3 linked regions of the Tribolium castaneum genome follow. The protein of the gene in region 3 binds, or shares a complex with, the protein of the main gene of each other region. Links are inferred from orthologs where the notes say so. Each region holds a gene or a part of one and is shown on either strand. Other genes may lie near its edges.

Region 1 (3,180 bases), on a different chromosome or scaffold from region 3:
GGGGGCTGCCACTCTCGAGGCGGGGATCCCCGACGGCTGGATGGGGCTGGACATCGGGCCGAAGTCGATCGAAGCGTTCAAAGCCCCCATTCAGAGGGCCAAAGTGATAGTGTGGAACGGGTAAGTTGGTACGACTGACTTTAGCAACCGTGGCCAACTATGGGTTCTAGGCCAGCCGGTGTTTTCGAGTTTGAAAATTTTGCAAAAGGGACCAAAGCCATAATGGATGAAGTCGTGGCGGCGACTCAAAGGGGCTGTGTCACGATTATTGGTAATTAAATCACTTTTGTGGGCGGTTTTTGTCAAATTTGGTGTTCTAGGTGGCGGTGACACGGCCACTTGTGCCGCAAAATGGAAGACTGAGGATAAGGTTTCGCACGTTTCGACGGGCGGGGGCGCCAGTTTGGAGCTACTGGAGGGCAAGGTCCTACCAGGGGTGGCCGCCCTCTCCGACGCTTGATTTTCCCGAACTTTGTTGTAAATTATTGTAATAAACTAGTGATTTTGAGTTTGTGTGGTTGGTATTGGGTGAACAAAATGGCGGTTTTTTCCCAAACAATTTATTTAAATAATAAATAACAAACAACAGTGTTTTCACCAATTACATTACATTGCACTGATTGGGGTCGGCGTTGTTTTGCATTTCGAGGGGCAAAGGGGGCCCCACGTCGCCCACTAGATCGGTCGGGGGTTGTCCGTAATCTTGCAACTAATTCGAGAAAAATCATTCTTGGAACAACATTAAACAAAAAACGCACCTTTTGCATCAAACTCAAGACCTTGTCAAACCTCTCCTTCTTTTGCTCACTACTATCACTCTCTTTCTCCTTCTCTAACTCGGCACAGATCTCCTCCATCAATTTCTGTTGTTTTTCGTATCTTTCTGCGTCTTCTTGACTCAACTTGTCCTTATTTTTGCTCAACCACTCCGGGAACTTGTCTAAAATGTCCTTGAGACTCGGATAGAGCACGTCCTTGGACAGCAAACTCTGCATCATCCCTTGCATGAAAGGCATAAAGGCGTTTTGGTCCCCCTGTCCCGCAAACAAGTTCATAATATCCTGCTCCAAATTGGGGTTCTGGAGCCCCTCAGCCCCCTGACTCAGCCCCTGGAGCGTCTGTGATATCGTGGCTGCGAAATCACCCGAGTCTCCGCTCGGATTTTCGATGACTTGTTGCGCCGTCTCTGCCATTTGCTGGAACTTGGCCTGGATTTGCTCGGGGGTTAACTGGGACCCGTCAGGGTTTGAGCCAAGCAAATTGGCAAAGTTTGACTCGAATTGAGCTGCGGCTTGTCGGATAAAATCGTCCGACCACTCAACGTCCGGGATTTCGTCCTGTGGGGGCGCAGGTTTGCTGTCTTTGGGCGGCTCGCTTTTGAAGTCTTCCAAAGCACCTTGAAATGAGGGAGTTACGCAACGAATTTTACACCACGGGACTCACTGTCCAAGAGCTCGGACAACTCGGCGTCCACTTTTGAGGCCGAATCGGGCTTTTTTGACTCGCTCATTGTAAAATTGGTATAAAACGGGAAGCTTTAAGAATTTGTTACAAAAGTGAGGTTAGGGAAATGTCAGGTGATTTGGGGATTTTTAGGCCACCTGTCGCTATTCCCTTCAACTATCAATTACAGGTTTCTACAAAAGGGTGTACCACCACGTTTTTCGTTATAATTTGTTGTTGTGTGGTTGGTACCTTGCCGTTTTTGACAGAAAAATATGGGCAATTTGAAAATAAAAATTTATTTTTTCGCTTCACACTCTTTAAGACGCATTTGTTATTGTTATAAGAGTAATACAGGTAATGTTTGTAGAATAAAAGGATTTACGTTAAATTATGTAACGTCCGAAAAGATTAATTCCGTTAGTATAAATAGCAAATATATCATAATTATATTTAATTTATTATTTATTATTTATTATTATTTATTATCATTTATTATATTTATTATTTACATTTTAAATTATTATTTAAATATATATTTTATAAATAATAAAAGAGTGGGTTGAGATCCAACAGCAAAAAGCAGACAAAATGAAACTAAATATGGACCCTCATGAGCCCACCCCTAGTTCCGCCACTGGCTCAGATGAAACCTTATTCATTTTTGTGCTCAATATAAAAACAGGGCGAAATCTTTGAAAAAATATTAATTTTTAAATATACTTTAAAAACAGGGCAAAAAATCAAAGTATTCTGAAAAGGCTTTCTTACTACTTTTCGTATCTAAGTGTTTAAAATCAATGTCATCACTCTAAAATAAAGTAAAGTCCATCCAACGTTCCACAAAAAATGATTTGGTTACGTTTTAAGTACTTTCTCTAGGATTTTTCGCGTGTAATAGGCCGACAATTGTATAATAAATATCAAACTCCAACCAACAAATATTCCAAAAATGCCGCCAAAATTGCCTGGAATTGCTAATTAGAAGAAAATTTCACACTATAATAAATTATCAATTACTCAAAACTTCGAACCAGTAATAGACAACGTCTTGAAGGTACAACTTTGAAAACCTGCCCGAATAATACACAAAAATTCGAGTAACGTTGTTGTCCGTTTTACTGAAACTTAGAAATAAAAAAAAAGTTTTTTTTTAAATAATTTTGCCAAACTTCAAAATTGGGAAAGAATTGGCATGGGCCTCGTACACCGTTTCAGCACATGACGAGTAACATTTATTATCGCAACGTAGCGAATCTTGGCGCTCTTTTTGCAAATACGGGCCTGGCTCAAGGTCGTCCGGAAAGAGCGAAGTCCACTTCTCTATAAAACCATTCATAAAAAAGTATACAGGGTGTCTCAGCTAAGACTTTCGAGCCTGATATCTCAGATATTTGTCAACGGATTTTTATGAAATTTAGAATGCACATATTTTAGGGGCAAAAAAATGACCTCAACTAAAAAATTAAATTTTAAAACACATTTCTTTTTTGCATCCGTACCCACGTTTAACAGTTTGCTTCTCATTTTTCTCGCAAAACAGACGTCTTCCACGAACGAGTTTTTTCTTTCAGCATTTTTCACTAACGATAATTTTTTTAATATAAGTCTTAAAAGGCTTAGCATTTTAAAAAGGCATGTAAAAATTACGTTTTTAAGACTTGAGTTTTTGCATTAATTGGATTTTAATCTTTATCTTCTAAAATATCTGCTTTTTAAATTTCATAAAAATCCGTT
Region 2 (4,381 bases), about 1.0 Mb from region 3:
ATATTTCGGGTTATTTGTGAGCCATTTGAGCAACATTTGTGCAGCCTGACTGTAGTAACTCTCGTTGGTGTAACAGACAGCCAAGGCCATGAGCGCCGTTAAATTATTGGGTTCCAGTTCTATACACTTTTTCAATGCCGGTATGGCATTACAGTCCTGTTCGTTTTCCGCTTGGGTTTTGCCTAATAGTAGCCAAGCTTCGCTGTTTTCAGGCTCTTGTTTTACGGCCGCTTCGAAACATAAAACAGCCGACGGCAGATCGCCGTCTTCGAGCAGTTTTTTGCCTCTTTGTAAAGGGTCAGGAATATCAAACATGGGATTTTCTTCGGTAAAGGTATAGTCGTTGTATGGGGCAGTATAGTAGGAGTCGAATTCGCTCGCCCAAGTGTTTTCGCTAGATTCGGCGCCTTCTAGAGTTTGTTTGAGCTCTTCCTGGAGGTTGTTCCAGTATTTGGAATTGAAATCGTCTTCTGAAATTAGGGCTCAAGGCTAGTTCTCGACCTAATCATTCATTTTGTATTAAAACAAATAAAATTTCTTGATATCACTCGTAAAAATCAAGACTTCTGTAACTTAATATTAAATATTTAACATTCATGTGGGATAAGAGCATTATTCACAAACTGAGCGAAAATTGCACAGTTGTGTAATCGGATAAGTTTGTTAACAATGCGTTATCACAACAAAAAATCCATATCTTAGAAACAGCTTTTTTATATCACTCGCCTGTATTTATTTATTTGGACTTTAAAATGTGATATTTTTCAAGAATTTTTTTTTGAAATTTCTTTTAGGTTTCGAGTTATTAAAAAATATTTTTTTAATGGCACACTTGTACGGCGATTTTTTTTTTTTTGGATGACGCTTGGTTCCAACGTAATTACAGCAAATAACGAATACAGCGGAAAGTTTTAATAAATTCAATGCTTACATTCGAGAGTAAAATTAAAAATTTCCTTTTTAATAATTAACTTTGCTCAACTGAGTTAGGTAAGTGATGTTGATAATAAACATAAAGGAATTTTTTCCTGTGTATTTTTTTATTTTCTTAAAGAATTCTTTCTTCTTGCCTTTGTTCCTGAGAGACTGGCAGTGATTTTTCTTTTTAGTTTTCAGTTCTTAAGTAATTTCCGATTTTTATTTTTATTCAAGTTCTATATTGTTTATTTTATTTTAATTTAATTTTTTTATATTTTCTGTTAATTTTTCTTTGAAGGTAAGTTGAATACCTTCAAGCTAGACTGCGCCTTCTCATCTGTTTATTATTGTTCAATTTTATTTAATAAAAAGCTTTGATTTATTATTATTATTATTTTTATAAATAAACTATCAAAAAGAAAGTAAACAAGTGTCAAGAACATAAAAATTAAAATAAAAACTAGATTTTAAAGATAAAAGCGCTATTAATAACTATTAATTAATTTAAAAAAATGTATTTTTCAATTAAATAAAAATTGAATCCAGATGAAATTTTCATAGGAAATTAAACTTTTTTGTATTTCATGTGAATAAAATGTGGAAAACAAATACACAAACAGAAAATAATACAAAAAAAAAGAAACTGGTTTAATTTAAATCCTTGATAATTATTTAATTTATGATCTCGAAATTTAATAAAATTCGCTTTTTGGTTTTTACTTACCTTGTACTATTTTTTTTTCTGGTAATAATATATTAAAAAAATCGATAATTTGTTCTGAAAGTATAAAGTGATAGGTAATCATGTTAACTACATTCAAAAACTTAGTTCAAAAATCTAACAATTGAACAGCTATATCTCGTAACAAAAGGCTTAAACAATTTTTTATCAAAACGATTTCTAACTCAGTTGGATGTCTTTTTTCATTACCTAAGATATATGATATTATTCTGTATAATCGATAATTTTTAATCGCCAATATTTGCAAAACCTCAAAACCCTAGCTCAAGCCTTTTGGTTTATTACTGATTTTAACATTTTTGTAAAAAATAAATAAAAACTTTTTAAGGAAAAGATGGTTACCGTAATCCTTTTCCCACTTTTTGGCGACTTTTTCAGCCTCCGCTTCGTTGTTATTTTGGAGGAACTCCTTGCTCCAGGACTGCGCCTCTTCCTCCGTCAGCCTCCCGTCCTCCAAATTAACATCACCATCGCCGACTTGTTTCATGAATCTCATAAACTGAAACCTATTCATTATTTACCGTCCCCAAACCCTGACGTAACGTCTGACCTTCGAATACACAAATTTGGGGTCATCAACAGCCTCAACAAACTCCCGAGCGCTCTGCTGCGAGGCATTTACCTTGCTGGGCCCTGGCAGTATCTCTGGGAAATTATCAGTGCCCCAGTCGTCCACCACAGCCGCATTGTTCTGCTCCTGCGAGAGGATCTCCGTCCAGATCGCCTCACTGTTCACATTGTCCTTGAACACAAATGACAGTGCAAAACTCACAACCAGCGCCTATTTACATTGAAGATTTTCCCGTCGTCGATGTACTGCTGCGCCCAGGCGTCGTCGTGGATCTGGTCCTTGATCGTGGAGGCGGGAATTGGCGGCAGCGCCGACCTTTGAGACTCAATTTCGTGCATTTCTCGCATCAAATCTGGAAGCGTCACAGGTGAATTACGGGGGTTTTAACGCACGGGGGGGCCCTACCGTCCATCCGGAAGCTCTGGGGCACCGACTTCGTCTCTTGCAGGAACTGCTCGACCAGTTGGTCCGAGCTGCTGGGGAAGGCATGCCCGTGGGCCTCCGCGAAGGCATGATCGTGGGTCAGGTGCGACGTCAGGCGGGCCAGGGGGTTCTTCTGGCCGCACTCGGCCTCGGTCAAGGGGTTAAATGCCATTTTTTCGGTTTTTAGCCCAGTTTACACAACCAAGTGCATTTTATCAAAACAAATTCCAGATTGACGTAAGTGACACTGACAAGGCCACTGGCACGGCTGCCAACCGGCACCAGTGGCAAGCCACAATCACCAAAAAACGTGATAACTGATAAATAAAACTTTTTTTCTAATATTTAGTTAATTAAACACAACATTTGGCTAAAATAACGTAAATCTGATCGAATGTTTGGCTTAAAAGACTTGACGCGGCGCCAACTTGGTGCGTATAGTGACATGTCATAGTCACCAAAAATTGAGGGAAGCCCCGGGAGTGAAACAACTCGTTAAAATATATTTTATTACATAAGTAAATACAACAAAGACATCACAACATGGAAGTGATTATAGTCAACAAATTGGGTTAAAATAAATTAATCTGATAAAATATTTGGCTTGGAGAAAAAAAACACGGATCATCGTAATATTAAAACACAAAAGGTTGATATGGGTGTCACATATGTCGAAATTCCATTTCCACTAACAATTACGACAACTCAAACCCAGTGTTGCAAGTGACAGCGTACCGCAGCTTCTCCCTCAAAGTGCTTTTCTTTTGGTAGTTGGGCAGCTTCAAAAGATTGAAACAAGTGGAAGACGTCGGTAAGCGATTCTGTGGGTCCTTTTTCCGTATCGTGAAAAACCCCCGAAAGACGCTTCCTGAAATCCCCTCCAGATTTTTCCAAAATCTAACAAATTGCAAAAAAAATACCGATCGTGTCTCCCGTGTCTTCATCATCGCCAACTTCGACACACCTAATCGAAAAGGGCGGCTCCAAATGAGCGAAGCCTAGAAGCGGCGGTTTGGAACAACTTGTCACAAACTGCAATTACCTAAGTTAGGAAAATTGGGCTTTAAATTACGGGGGGCACCTTTAGGAACATTCCTTTCTCCTCCTCGGTGAAATCCTTTTCTAAAATATCCCACAGCCAACCCACCACGCGGTGCGAGTCGTGAAAACCGCCGTAATACTGAGTGTGTTTGCGCAAATCTTTCATGTCTAAGGGGACATTATCACCCGAGATAAGGCGTTGCAACTGGAAATTTATTGTTAAAAGAGCGTTTTCAACGGTTTGAACCCACTTCAGGTGTTGAAAAGAGCGACAACCAGTCGGGGTTGATAATCGAGCGGAAGCCGCGAATGAAAGCGCTGGTTTGGTCCTTGATTTGCACGTGCATTCGGAAGTGGGCCATCAAGTGGATGTAATTGATCCTAAAAGCACAATTCATTGGAATTAAAACAAAAATATTCGTGGAAAAAAGGAGAAAAAATGGTAATTTCAACAGAAAAAACAAAAATTTGAAAAATGAAATATAAAGAAAGACAAGACTTTTTACGTCTGACACTCCAAAGGAAATACATTAAATATCTTCATATAAAAAGGTCACTAATAAGAATTTTCTTTTTTTTATCTTTTCCTAAACCAAACTTTCTTTATTATTCATAAAAACTTCGTCCGTATTATAAGTTCTCACTTAGAAAAAATTATACTCTAAGGATTTTATTTTACTGAACAT
Region 3 (3,409 bases):
AGATTAGATAATAATGTATATAGGTAGTTCAGCTTGGCTAAAATTAGGCAAAGCTTCGATTTTTGGCACCAATTATTGTCATATCATAAACTCGGTGCCTGAGTTGAACACCACATTTCGTGGCCAATTTTTATTTACAGTTGAACTGTACTTAAGCGCCCTCACGCGGCCAATTTTTTTAAGTAAGCTTTGCCAACTCCGTTGGGAGCTTGCCAACAGTTTTGGTTTGTAAATAATTGTAAATTGTGACGCTGTCTTAATGTTATTGTTGAAACTACTAGATAAGGTGCTACTTCACACTTTTGTGAATAGTCAAATAGGGTGTGCTGTCTTTAGAAAAAATTGTTTTTTTTTGCCTGGTAGGTTGTACTTACGGCAAGTTTTGGAATAGTTAATTGTTAGTTTCTAGGTACAAATCCTAACCTTTGTAAATACATGTTTTAGCGTTTAAACTGTACAGTAACTCTATACAAACTTGGAACAAAGTACCTAATAAATGACCTTTTACAGTGAAATAAAACTATTTAAGTAGAATCCAGAGTTTTATTGCTGCCATAAGGCAGAGTTAAAAATATTTTCTCACCACAAAAAAATTACCCTTCTTTTCTAATCCTATGTCAGCTAACTGCAAAACCTAATAACCAAGTGTTTCCTACTTTAAATGGCCTCGTTTTTGGAAGATTAATCTTTATCGTCGTCGTCATCATCGTCAACATCTTTGGATTTGTGTCTTCTAAAATCACTATCTTTGGATGAGAAAGATCTGCAATAAAATCAATAAAACCCGTCCGGAAAAAATCAAACCACTTGCATTATATCTAGACTAGAATCACTATTTTTTGCTGCATGTTCATGTTCCGAAGACCCTGATCCTGACCCAACTTCCATCAGTTCCTCGGCTTTTCTCTCAGGGTCTGAGTCGGGGTCGGAGTCCTGACTTATGCTAGTCTTCTGCCACGCAGGTATCGACGGACGGACTACTGAGCTTTTGGAAACCGGCGGAAATTGATTCCGGCTCAGGAGCAGGCCTTTGACTGTCGCAATTTCAGATTTCAAGTCTGATAATTGCCGCTGCGTGCTGCTCTCAGCCCCTTGACTAATTTTATCTACTTCTACTTTGACACTAAGTAAATTGTTTTTTAAGTCATTCACAGATTGCTTAAAACTCTTGTCTAATTCATCTATCGACTCCTCTACACTTTTCTTCTTTTTCCCGAAGAAAAACGGCGCTATAAATTTCTGCAAAAAATGGTATAGCGGCTTTTAACCACGGGAAACACGCACCATGTAAAATTTGTACACGACGTACGCTACGAAACTAAAAATGGCCACATTATGTACAACTTCTTTAACCTTATCAAATAAACTAATTTGGACCGTTGCACTGTTTGGGTACGGAATTAGGGAACTTGGGGGCAGAGGCGGCGTCCGATTTCTTTGTTCGTGGTATTTGTAAGCCCCCGATTTCTCGCACGCCTGTCTGATCTCCTCATCGGTTAAACCCTTCCGTTTCAAAAACCTTTGTTGTTCTCCTAGCGATGTTTTGAGCACGTTGGGGTTCTCCAGGAATTTTATAGCCGTGTTCACCTACAGTTAGCAATCGATAAATGGGGCAATTTAACCTAAACAACTTACCAAATCTTCCCGAACTGGGGGAGTCTCAGGGCGATTTTCCTCAAGTGAGGACAGTTGATCAGACATGGTTTTACACTAACCTAATTACTTAAAATTGATACATGGAAGTGATAACGCGAGTTCGGAAGACACCACACTTGTTTTTCTGCAAACTTTTAATTTTCAATCTCAAATTCCAAGGTTAAACAAAAACAAATGTCATTGGGACGCTGTCAAATCAAATTCCTGGAGACAAAGCGAAAGTCACTATTTAAATTTAGTCAAAAGACGACTTTTTTTCAAAAAAAAATTGCGATTTTATTGTAGAAACCTTTAAGCATTAGTCAATAATATTAGATAATTGCGATAATAATAATTTTTGTGTTTTTGCTAACATGGAAGCGTTATCGAGCGCATTATGAAACCAAACACTCTTTGGATTATCGCAGTGACAAGTTGTCAGTGGGTGTATGATGGCCAAGTAAAATAAAAACCGTTCGGCTTTAACTAATAATTCCGTTAAATCACAAAAGTGTGTGCGTAAAAAGCCTCTAATGACTTCACAATTCGGTAAATAACCAGTTTTCCCTCAAACTGTCCAATTTTTGGCCGATTTCAGTCGGCGTGAATAAAACTGCATTTGTAGTGATTACACCTGGTTTTAGGTCATTAGGCGAGAGCTGAGCCGGCAGAATGATCGGGGGGTTGTTCGTGTACAACCACAAGGGCGAAGTCCTCATTTCCCGAGTTTACAGGGATGATATCGGCAGAAATGCGGTCGATGCGTTTCGGGTTAATGTTATACATGCCCGACAACAAGTCCGCTCTCCGGTCACAAACATAGCACGAACGTCCTTTTTCCACATTAAGGTACATTTTGGTTTTGAAAATTGGACAAAAACTGGTGCGATTTCAACTTTTTCACAACCTTTTTGTTGCTTGTTTTGCGAATTTTGCACAAAATTGTATCAAATGAGTCTAGTCTCGGTCGAAATTGTGTTTTTTGATTTCCAGAGGGCTAATATTTGGATTGCCGCCGTAACAAAGCAAAATGTCAACGCCGCCATGGTTTTTGAGTTCTTGTTGAAGATTATCGAAGTCATGCAGTCGTATTTTGGGAAAATCTCTGAAGAGAATATTAAAAATAATTTCGTTCTTATTTATGAATTACTAGACGGTAAAATCGTTCAGTTGCATTGATTTGGTCATTACATGAAAATTGTAGAAATCCTGGACTTTGGTTACCCTCAAAACACCGATACCGGCGTTTTGAAAACGTTCATAACCCAACAAGGGATCAAATCGGCCACTAAGGAAGAACAAGCTCAGATTACGTCACAGGTTACTGGTCAGATTGGTTGGAGGCGTGAGGGTATCAAGTATCGTCGAAACGAGTTGTTTTTGGATGTTTTGGAATATGTTAACCTACTTATGTCGCCTCAAGGTTTTATAATTTTTTTTCCTGAATTTGTTTTCATAAAAAACTTTAGGCCAGGTTCTTTCGGCCCACGTGGCCGGTAAAGTCGTGATGAAGTCGTATTTGTCGGGAATGCCCGAATGCAAGTTCGGGATTAACGACAAGATTGTGATGGAAGCCAAAGGCAAAGGGGGCTTAGGGTCGACGTCTGATTCCGATCAGACCCGGTCTGGCAAACCAGTCGTTGTAATTGACGATTGCCAGTTCCACCAATGCGTGAAATTAAGTAAATTCGAAACCGAACATTCCATTAGCTTTATTCCACCTGACGGTGAATTCGAATTGATGAGATATCGTACAACTAAAGACATATCGTTG

The links.
Region 1: the proteins of Pex14 (region 3) and Pex19 are in contact, whole or in part, in an NMR structure (PDB 2W85), measured with the Homo sapiens proteins. The link is inferred for Tribolium castaneum from reciprocal best matches to the Homo sapiens genes PEX14 and PEX19. Residues at the interface, in NP_004556.1 of Homo sapiens: Leu28, Thr31, Ala32, Lys34, Phe35, Asn38, Ser39, Arg40, Val41, Ser44, Thr48, Phe52, Lys56, Leu58; in NP_002848.1 of Homo sapiens: Gln67, Phe70, Phe71, Leu74, Phe75, Ser77.
Region 2: the proteins of Pex14 (region 3) and Pex5 are in contact, whole or in part, in an NMR structure (PDB 4BXU), measured with the Homo sapiens proteins. The link is inferred for Tribolium castaneum from reciprocal best matches to the Homo sapiens genes PEX14 and PEX5. Residues at the interface, in NP_004556.1 of Homo sapiens: Thr31, Phe35, Asn38, Arg40, Val41, Ser44, Pro45, Thr48, Arg49, Phe52, Lys55, Lys56; in NP_001124497.1 of Homo sapiens: Glu59, Leu62, Val63, Glu65, Phe66, Leu67, Gln70.

The regions. Positions count from the first base shown.
Region 1 is NC_087401.1:15,465,576-15,468,755, reverse strand, and holds Pex19 (peroxisomal biogenesis factor 19), read right to left. Parts: upstream 1,614-3,180; 5' UTR 1,511-1,613; coding exon 1,444-1,510; intron 1,397-1,443; coding exon 759-1,396; intron 710-758; coding exon 602-709; 3' UTR 543-601; downstream 1-542. Other genes in the region: Pgk (phosphoglycerate kinase), read left to right, coding at 1-120, 171-271, 321-460; pickpocket protein 19, read right to left, coding at 2,227-2,254, 2,306-2,411, 2,464-2,564, 2,616-2,766. UniProt on the Homo sapiens protein: Necessary for early peroxisomal biogenesis. Acts both as a cytosolic chaperone and as an import receptor for peroxisomal membrane proteins (PMPs).
Region 2 is NC_087395.1:23,163,050-23,167,430, forward strand, and holds the start of Pex5 (peroxisomal targeting signal 1 receptor), read right to left. Parts: upstream 2,929-4,381; 5' UTR 2,827-2,928; coding exon 2,637-2,826; intron 2,584-2,636; coding exon 2,450-2,583; intron 2,403-2,449; coding exon 2,211-2,402; intron 2,160-2,210; coding exon 2,003-2,159; intron 471-2,002; coding exon 1-470. Other genes in the region: ubiquitin-protein ligase E3B, read right to left, coding at 3,350-3,522, 3,575-3,686, 3,736-3,900, 3,947-4,076.
Region 3 is NC_087395.1:22,142,431-22,145,839, reverse strand, and holds Pex14 (peroxisomal membrane protein PEX14), read right to left. Parts: upstream 1,861-3,409; 5' UTR 1,702-1,860; coding exon 1,636-1,701; intron 1,588-1,635; coding exon 1,285-1,587; intron 1,240-1,284; coding exon 812-1,239; intron 764-811; coding exon 682-763; 3' UTR 530-681; downstream 1-529. Other genes in the region: AP-2mu (AP-2 complex subunit mu), read left to right, coding at 2,308-2,484, 2,629-2,791, 2,840-3,058, 3,105-3,409. UniProt on the Homo sapiens protein: Component of the PEX13-PEX14 docking complex, a translocon channel that specifically mediates the import of peroxisomal cargo proteins bound to PEX5 receptor.